Macaca mulatta: one gene and its partner. The protein of the gene in region 1 binds, or shares a complex with, the protein of each later gene. Links are inferred from orthologs where the notes say so. Each region holds a gene or a part of one and is shown in the gene's direction. Other genes may lie near its edges. The genes, in order: CTSK and CST3.

Region 1 (4,231 bases):
TTTTGTATTATTTTTAGTAGAGATGGGGTTTCACTATATGTTGGCCAGGCTAGTCTCGAACTCCTGACCTCAGGTGATCCACCTGCTTTGGCCTCTCAAAGGCCTGGGATTACAGGCGTGAACCACCGTACCTAGCCCACTAGCAGCTCTTAAAATCCAGAGGCATAAGCCTCTTGAGGGTTTATGCATTGAATCCAGCTAGAAACTGAGTCTATTACAGATCCCATTTATTATCCTTTCTATTCCAAGAAGCCTTTTTTCCTCCTTCCCCACATCTGTTTATGGAAGAAAATGAAGTTTGGGGTGTGGTTTGAGGACTCAGCGAGATTCTTATGATCTGTCACATGCCTGGATGTTGGGGAAGCATTTGGAGAAGCTCATGTGACTTGTCCTAGATTGGGGATTTTAATTGAGACAGATGATGTTTATCGGGCATCCCACCACCTGAGGGTTTTAGCAACAGAGTCACATGGGAGTCCATCAGAACTTATGGCACTGATTCAAGTGCTGTCATAGATAACCAGGACTGCTGTTTTTGGTTACTTTTAAAGACAGTTTCATCTGGACTTTCTGGGTATATCCTTCAGCAAAACCACATTAGGCTGGGAAAGCTATTCTCCTTCCTGGAAGTAATGACAACTTGCAACCAACAAGCTTACAAAAATACAAAGAATTCTGGAGCGTATGGCTTCCATTACATTATTCTTTTATAGCCTTTTATGTTCATTCCCGCATCCCAGAGGTGAGGGTCAGACACAAATTTGAAAATAGGTTTCAATGTTGGAGAGGTAAATCATAACAGGAAAGGGGTAGGAAAAGATGTAATCCCCCAGTGTTATAATAAAGATACTGAAGAAGAAGGATGGGAGAGACTAGGGCTGTGTCCTTCCTTTTACTCACCAAAAGAGAAGGTAAGCTCCTATTTGAGTCAATAGATACTGAGGTCTTGTTATTTGCCACCAAAGACAGTCTTGTGAGATTAAATACCTAGCAACTCCCTACCCTGGCACACATGCTGCACACATACACAAACACTACAAATCCACTGACTCCTTCCCTCCTCCCTACCCTTCCTTCTCTCAGCATTTCTATCCCCGCCTCCTCCTCTTACCCAAATTTTCCAGCCGACCACTGGAGCTGACTTCCGCAATCCTGATGGAATAAATCTGGCACCCCTGATGGTCTGCCCACACTTCGCTGCCGAAACGAAGCCTGACAACAGTTCCATCAGCAGGTAACATTTGCAACTTCCTAGATCTTTTAGCTTTTCATTCCTGTCAATTCTCTAAGAGTATTAGGGATGTAGTGACTTGAGAATCACAATGAACTTTTAGCCTTTGCAGATGAAAACTGAGATGCACTTCTTAGATCATTCCCTGGCTAAATAAAATCTGCCTGGAAGTCTGTAGAATTCCTTGTATGATTTATATATATATATACATGGTTGTAACTAAAAGCAAAGTATATAGGGAATCATTTGCCTATCCTTCAAGGGTAGCCTTTCTGCAGTGTTTTCTACTTTGGCCAACAAGGATCAAAAGGGTTAACTCCCTAGTGAGGAGGAGGAGGAGAGTGGTATGGGGAGGTGGTAGCTCAGTGCTTCCTGTTTGCTGAAACATCTCAAAGCCCTTAACACTCTAACTTTTAAGTGTCCTACTGGACATTTTGCCAGTTTGAAAAAATTACATGTAAATGGACTATAAGCAATTGTGTAAGCCATATGACATGCTGCAAGCTGCAAATTGTTCTTAAAATGGAGGAGTTGTAATTAAGCAAGCCAATGCAAGAAATGAGTGAAGCTAGCTAAACTTATGAAAAGCTGTGAATTTAATAATCATAGAACATTGCTTTTCAGTCTGAACATTCTTCTAACAAACCTTGGATCTGAGGCTCCTTGTCCTGTGCGGCAGCCACAGTGGTTTTTTGTTGTTAGGGGAAAAATAAAAAACCTTGCCCGCAGCATCTGGTTAAGATTAGGGCAGTTTCCTGCCTAAGGAGGGAGGGGAGAGCAAAAGGAGGAAGAAATGCATAAGGAGAATGAGGAGATAGAAAATGTCTCAGAAAACAGGAAACATTGTCATATTTTCCCTTGTCCTCTTCTGACAAGATCTGGGAAAGTACCAGAATTTAGGCAAGAAAGAGAAAAATGCCTCGAAGAAATGATCAGGAAGCAAAACTTAGATGGAAATCTCTCCTTTGTGTATTCTGAACCCCACTACCACCTTGCTCTTTATCTGTCTCCAAGCCTGCTGAGGACCCTGGAGGAAACAGGCACTGAGCCCATTCTGATTGTCCAGTTTCTATCCTATTTCTGGTTGTGTAAGTGTGTGTGTTTGTGTGAGAGAGAGAGAGAGAGACAGAGAGTGTGTGTGTGTGTTGGTTAAATCTCCCGAGAGAGAGAGAAATGGCTACATCTGCCTAGATCATAACTTGGAACCAGATGTACCAGCACCCTATCAAAACACAGGTCCCTCCTGACTATCATTGATTTATCACCCTTTCTCTGTCTACCTTCCTCTTCCTCATAAAGCCTAGTTTTCCTTGGTTTCCCTGCCAAATGGAAGAGTTTTCCCTAATTACATTCTTCTGCAGGATGTGGGGGCTCAAGGTTCTGCTGCTACCTGTGATGAGCTTTGCTCTGTACCCTGAGGAGATACTGGACACCCACTGGGAGTTATGGAAGAAGACCCACAGGAAGCAATACAACAGCAAGGTGCCTGGGGTCCTGAAGGGGGCATGGCAGGAGGGCTGAGACTTGAGCTCTCTCATCTTAGCTGCAGACTCCCTTCTTCAATCCAAATGCTTTATTCCTAGCAAATCAGTCCCTCTTTCCTAACTCACGTTAACATACGGTTTTCATTCCTATGCTTCAAATCATCCTCTGTCAAATTGTATCCTTCCTTTGCTTTATAAGTGTGTTACATTTCTCTTTTGGGAAGATTTCTAAGATTAATGCTATTCATCTATAAGCATTTTTTCTGTCTCTCCAGAGCTTTGTGTTGTATTTCTTTATGTATTATCTCTTCTTGCAGGCCTTAATAATTCCATGGTTAGTTCCCCAACTAAACTGTAAAGTTTTATGATTGTGAGTTTCCTTTATTCTCCTAAAACCCTTCACAATATGACATATGTAACTGTACACGGTCTATACAAGTACTGACTATGCTTTGTTTAGGTGGATGAAATCTCTCGGCGTTTAATTTGGGAAAAAAACCTGAAGTATATTTCCATCCATAACCTTGAGGCTTCTCTTGGTGTCCATACATATGAATTGGCTATGAACCACTTGGGGGACATGGTAAGTACAGCCTCAGCTCCTGTCCCACCTGCACCGTTTGCTTTAGTTCCCTGCTGATGCCTGGCCTCTTTCTTCTTTGTCTCAGACCAATGAAGAGGTGGTTCAGAAGATGACTGGACTCAAAGTACCCGCCTCTCATTCCCGCAGTAATGACACCCTTTATATCCCAGACTGGGAAGGTAGAGCCCCAGACTCTGTCGACTATCGAAAGAAAGGATATGTTACTCCTGTCAAAAATCAGGTACTCTCCTTTCTTCTGGGTGTGCATATGTAATCTGGCATGACCTTTTCCTTTTTCTGCTGCTTTGTTCTTGAGGTGAAAGGGCACCAGGAAGAGAGGGCAAGGGATTAAGGTACATCTCCCCATTCTGTTATTTAACCTCATTTGTTTCTGTACATTTGGGTTGTTTCTGGTTTTTCTTTTTCCTTTCCTTTTTTTTTTTTTTGAGATAGAGTGTCACTCTGTCGCCCAGGGTGGAGTGCAGTGGTGCAATCTTGGCTCACTGCAACCTACACCTCCCGGTTTCAAGCGATTCTCCTGCCTCAGCCTCCTGAGTAGCTGAGGTTACAGCACGCACCACTACGCCTGGCTAATTTTTCTATTTTTATAGAGATGGGATTTCACCTTGTTGGCCAGGCTGGTCTTGAACTCCTGACCTCAGGTGATCCACCTGCCTTGGCCTCCCAAAGTGCTGGGATTACAGTCGTGAGCCACCGCGGCCTGGTTTTTCTTTATTACAAATAGTGTTGCAATAAGCACCCTTGTGCATATATTTTTGTGCACATGTACAAATATTTATGCAAAACAAGTCCTAAAATTGGAATTGCTGGGTCACAGTCCTTTCTCCCCGCAAAAAATTATTATTATTGTTATTTTTTTTTTGAGACAGAGTCTCTGTCACCCAGGCTGGAGTCCAGTGGCGCAATCATGGC
Region 2 (4,446 bases), on another chromosome or scaffold:
TTTTTTACTTTTTGAAATGTGTCTCCTAGAAAGTTTTAAATTGCTCCCAGGTTTGCGTCACATCTCTGTCTGGCAGCAGCCCTGCAATGTTGTGTCCACGGCTCGGTCACCCAGGCTCCGTCTCTAGTTCCTACACCACCTGGTGCAGGGGGAAGCTGGTGACAAGTCTGTTTGTTGAATAATAAGGAATTGTGAAAGGAGAACCCAGAGTTTTTTACTCAAATAAAGGTTAATTCTTCTGTTTGAAAAGTCCCCTAGCACAGGGCATGGCCTGAGTCTTCTGCAGCCTCTGGAATCACATCTCTGCCTCAGTGATTTCTAGACCTTGACCAAATGCTCGCGGATACTCGGGACCTCCGACGACTCCGGAAGGCCAAGACCTCTATCCTTCCCTTTTCTGAGGAAATGAAGCTAGGGGGTCGCATGCTTTTAGGGCTCAGGGGGACTTGACACCTCTCTGGAAGGCAGGGTGACCTAAGCTTGGGAGGAGGGACAGGTCTATGAGATGAGATGGAGCTGAAGGGATGGAGTGGGTAGGAGGGGGGCGTGGGTGTAGAAGGGGTGGGGGAAGAGGGACCAGGAGTGGAGTTAGAAAAGGGGAAAGAAGAGGATAGGAGGGACAGAGACAGGGAGAGGCCAGGGGTGGGTAGGAAGGGAAGACAGAGGAGGGGTGGAACAAGGGAGGGGCGATGAAGAAGGGCAGAGCTTGGGGGCGAAGTGGGAGCAAGGACAAGAGTGGAGGAGGGAGAGGAGGGGCAGGGGAGGCGGTGTCTGGGGGTTGAAAGGGGAAACGGATAGAGGAGAAGGAGCCTGAAGAGGGGAAGCATGGAGGGGCCTGAAGTGGGGAGGCTGGAATGGTCTGGGATGGATGGGGAAGAATGGGGAGGATAGGAGGGGCAGGGGAGGCTGGGAGGAAGAGAGCAGGCGAAGAGGGAGAGGGGAGGGGAGGGGATGGATAGGGAGGGACAGGGAGGCTAGGGGGCAGGGGAGGAGCGGAGGGAGAGGGGAGGGGGAAAGGGAGGGGGAGGCGGGAAGGGAGGGGGGAGGCCGGGAGGGGCTGGGAGGGGAGGAGAGGGGATGGATGGGGAGGGAAGGGGATCCATGGGGAGGGCCAGGGAGGCCAGGATGGCAGGGGAGGCAGGGAGGGGAGGAGATTGGTAGGGAGGGACCGGGAGGCGGGGAGAGGTAGGGGAGGTGGGAAGGGAGAGGGGAAGCGGGAGGGACTAGGCGTTCCGGAAAAGGAAGCGCAGGGCGCGAGGGGCGGGGAAGGCCAGAAGGGATAAAAGCGCAGCCGCTGGCCCCGCAGTGTTCACGGCCTCGGGATCGCACCGGGTCCTCTGTCAGTAGCTCAAGCCTCTCGCCTGCGCCCCACTCTCCGTGTCCCGCGTCCTAGCCGACAATGGCAGGGCCTCTGCGCGCCCCGCTGCTCCTGCTGGCCATCCTGGCCGTGGCTCTGGCAGTGAGCCCCGCGGCCGGAGCGAGTCCCGGGAAGCCGCCGCGCCTAGTGGGCGGCCCCATGGACGCCAGCGTGGAGGAGGAGGGTGTGCGGCGTGCCCTGGACTTTGCCGTCAGCGAGTACAACAAAGCCAGCAACGACATGTACCACAGCCGCGCGCTGCAGGTGGTGCGCGCCCGCAAGCAGGTGCGTGCCGCCCCCCGCAGGGTCCCGAACCCTGGCCCCGCCGCCCCAGCCTGCCCCGCGCCGCTCCCGGACCCCGCGCTGCTCCTTCTCCCCGGCACCTGGGCTTCTCACCCAGACCCTGTTCCCGGTCTTCGCTGTCACCCTGGAGCCCTTGGCGGGCGTGTCTGGGAATGCCCCGAGTCTGGTCTGGCTTGGAACCGCAAGGACAAGCCAGGTCCGCGCCCGGCGCCTGAGATCTGCTTCCAGGCGCCAGCTCGAGCGGCGCCGCAGCGCGGGGGCAGGCACAGGACGTCCCACCCAACTCTGTCCAGGCCTCCTGGGACGCGGGGCTCCGGGTGCGCTGCTGAATACGCAGGAGAAGGAAAAAACAGAGCCCGTCATCTGGCTGCCTCCTTGTTCTTCCGCCAAATAATTTTTAAACACTTTAGTTTAACTTTTTATTCTCACATAATTTCTGACTTACAGAGCAGCTGCAGATATAGTACAGGGCATCCCTGTAGATCTTTCACCCAGATCCTTCAGATGTTAGCACGGATGTTAACATTTTGCCGTTTGTTCCCCCAGCTCACTTTCCGAATGTGAATATGGGTGTGTGTATATGTACTGTATATGCATTTTTTTGCCTGAATCTTTTGAGAGTAAACACTTCAGTGTGTTTTTCCTTAAAACAAGGGCAGTATCTCACATAACCACGATTCCATTTTGAAAATCAGCACTGACACATTCATGGTCTAATGCTCAGACTCATTCAGCTTTCCCTGACTGCTGACGGGCTTCATGCCTTAGGACGCTCCCGGGCCAGGAGTACATGAGTTCAGCCCTGTCCTGTCCCCTCTGCCTCTTTTCACCTGCAGCAGCCGCTGGGTCTGTACCAAGACCGTGCCATTTCCCAGGATCCAGCAGGTGTGGGTGGAGACTGTGCTGACTCTGGGTGGGCTTGGTGCTGGTCAGGATGAGATCCAGACCATGAGGCTCGTCTTCCTCCGGGAGTCCTCTCCATAGGGGCCACACCTGAGCCTGGCTCCTTGTCCTGCAGAGCCCTGCTTCCCTTCCCAAGTCACACCCCTGGGCACAGCCCTCTAGGACTAGGGGCCTTCACCCTCAGGCCGAATGACCACCCCCTACAGCCCAGGGCAGCTGAATTCCTGCTGGGGTGGAGCATGCCTGACCCTGCTTCTACCAGCTGATGCAGAGTTAGACCTCAGCCAGATGAGGACAGCAGTCACCCAGCAGAGCGGAGTAGGGGGTCAGATCCGGGGGGGAGCTTCAGTAGGGCTACCAGGTCCAGCTTGACCTGCATCCCATGGCAGAGCAACAAACAGTGACACAGACTTTAGAGCTCCTCCACCTTCTGTTGGAAATTCAGAGGAGTCTAGACCAGCCCCGTTTCTCCTCCTGCAGCCGTCAGCTGGGGTCCTCTCCCTGTTCCCTGGTGTAGGGTCCCCGCTGGCCTGCACCCCTCTCTCACTGGGAGTGAAGCACGGGGCATTGTAGGACCCTGGAACCTATTTTACAGAGCAGCAGACTGACACCGGAGGGATCACAGGACTTGCATGTGGTTCTACAGGACTTGTGTGTGGCTCCACAGGGCAAGGTCTAGCACCCTGGTCTCAGGGTCCCTCATCCCATGCTTCTCCACAGTTCTCACAAGTCATGTCTGGGGGTGGCACTGTGCAGGGAAAGCATTCAGTTCTCTTCTGAAGTTGCAACCGTAAGACTCACTTTGGAAATACTGCCTCCAAAATCACACCTGGAATGGAGGCATGTGGGAAGCAGTTTATTGGCCTAAAACATCAATGTATGTGAGCATCTCATCTCCTATTGATAAATGAGGAAAAATACCTCTGGGTTAAATGAGAGGAATGAGATGCTCTGTGGACTGAATGCCAGGAACTGGAAGTTTGCCGAAATTTCATCATCACATGAGAGCCTTCCTAGAATAGATCCAGTGTCCCTGCCCCCTGGGTCATAGGTAGCAGAATTCAGTTAATCCTTGGCATTGGCATAGAGAAAACAAGTTACCAGGGAGGCCTGGGGCATGGCATCCCTGCCAGCTGGCAGGAGGAGGTGGCTTGTGTGCCTTGCAAGTGACAATGTGGGTAGCTCGTGAAGGTAGGCTTGAAGCCCCAGGCAAGCCCAGTGACCCAGTCACAGTGAAGTGCCTGTGTGTGTAAGAAACTGACAGAGCGTGCTGTCCCTGCCTCCTGCTCTTTCACATGTGTAGATCGTAGCTGGGGTGAACTACTTCTTGGACGTGGAGTTGGGCCGAACCACATGTACCAAGACCCAGCCCAACTTGGACAACTGCCCCTTCCATGAACAGCCACATCTGAAGAGGGTATGTGCCTCATGTGGGTCCAGGGCCAGTCATACACTGCAGAGGGGTGTGTGTGTGTGTGTGTGTGTGTGTGTGATGTACATGTTCTGGAGGGTATGTGTGCGTGTGCCTGAGTGTGTGTACATATGGAGATGCACATGTGTTTCCATGTATAGGTTTGTGTGGGGAGGTTATATGAGTGTGTGCTAGTGGGTGTGTGATGTTTTGGGGAGGTGTGGGGGTCTATGCACGGATGTGTGTGGGTGTGTGAGTGCGCATGCGTGTGCACATATGTGTGGGGGTTCTGTGCACATACATGCTGTATGAGGAAGTGCCTGCACTGTGTGTGTGCATGTGGGTAGAGGTGTGAGGGAGTATGTGGATTCATGCATAGATCCGTGTGGGTGAGGGTTGGGGTGAGTTCATGTGGAGGCCTATGTGTGTGTAGATGAGGCGGTGTGGAGAGGGCTGATGAATCTGATTTGCT

What was found.
Region 2: the proteins of CTSK (region 1) and CST3 are in contact, whole or in part, in a crystal structure (PDB 8V57), measured with the Mus musculus proteins. The link is inferred for Macaca mulatta from reciprocal best matches to the Homo sapiens genes CTSK and CST3. Residues at the interface, in NP_031828.2 of Mus musculus: Asn132, Gln133, Gly134, Gln135, Cys136, Gly137, Cys139, Trp140, Glu173, Asn174, Tyr175, Cys177, Gly178, Gly179, Gly180, Tyr181, Met182, Ser248, Ala251, Ser252, Gln257, Phe258, Val274, Asn275, His276, Ala277, Ser297, Trp298, Ser301, Trp302; in NP_034106.2 of Mus musculus: Pro27, Arg28, Met29, Leu30, Gly31, Ala32, Pro33, Gln75, Leu76, Val77, Ala78, Val80, Asn81, Tyr122, Pro125, Trp126, Lys127, Thr133.

What each region holds. Positions count from the first base shown.
Region 1 is NC_133406.1:116,304,641-116,308,871, forward strand, and holds the start of CTSK (cathepsin K precursor), read left to right. Parts: upstream 1-1,222; 5' UTR 1,223-1,234; intron 1,235-1,997; exon of another isoform or gene 1,998-2,271; intron 2,272-2,592; 5' UTR 2,593-2,593; coding exon 2,594-2,713; intron 2,714-3,175; coding exon 3,176-3,298; intron 3,299-3,383; coding exon 3,384-3,539; intron 3,540-4,231. UniProt on the Homo sapiens protein: Thiol protease involved in osteoclastic bone resorption and may participate partially in the disorder of bone remodeling. Displays potent endoprotease activity against fibrinogen at acid pH. May play an important role in extracellular matrix degradation.
Region 2 is NC_133415.1:60,396,920-60,401,365, forward strand, and holds the start of CST3 (cystatin-C precursor), read left to right. Parts: upstream 1-1,344; 5' UTR 1,345-1,399; coding exon 1,400-1,642; intron 1,643-3,866; coding exon 3,867-3,980; intron 3,981-4,446. UniProt on the Homo sapiens protein: As an inhibitor of cysteine proteinases, this protein is thought to serve an important physiological role as a local regulator of this enzyme activity.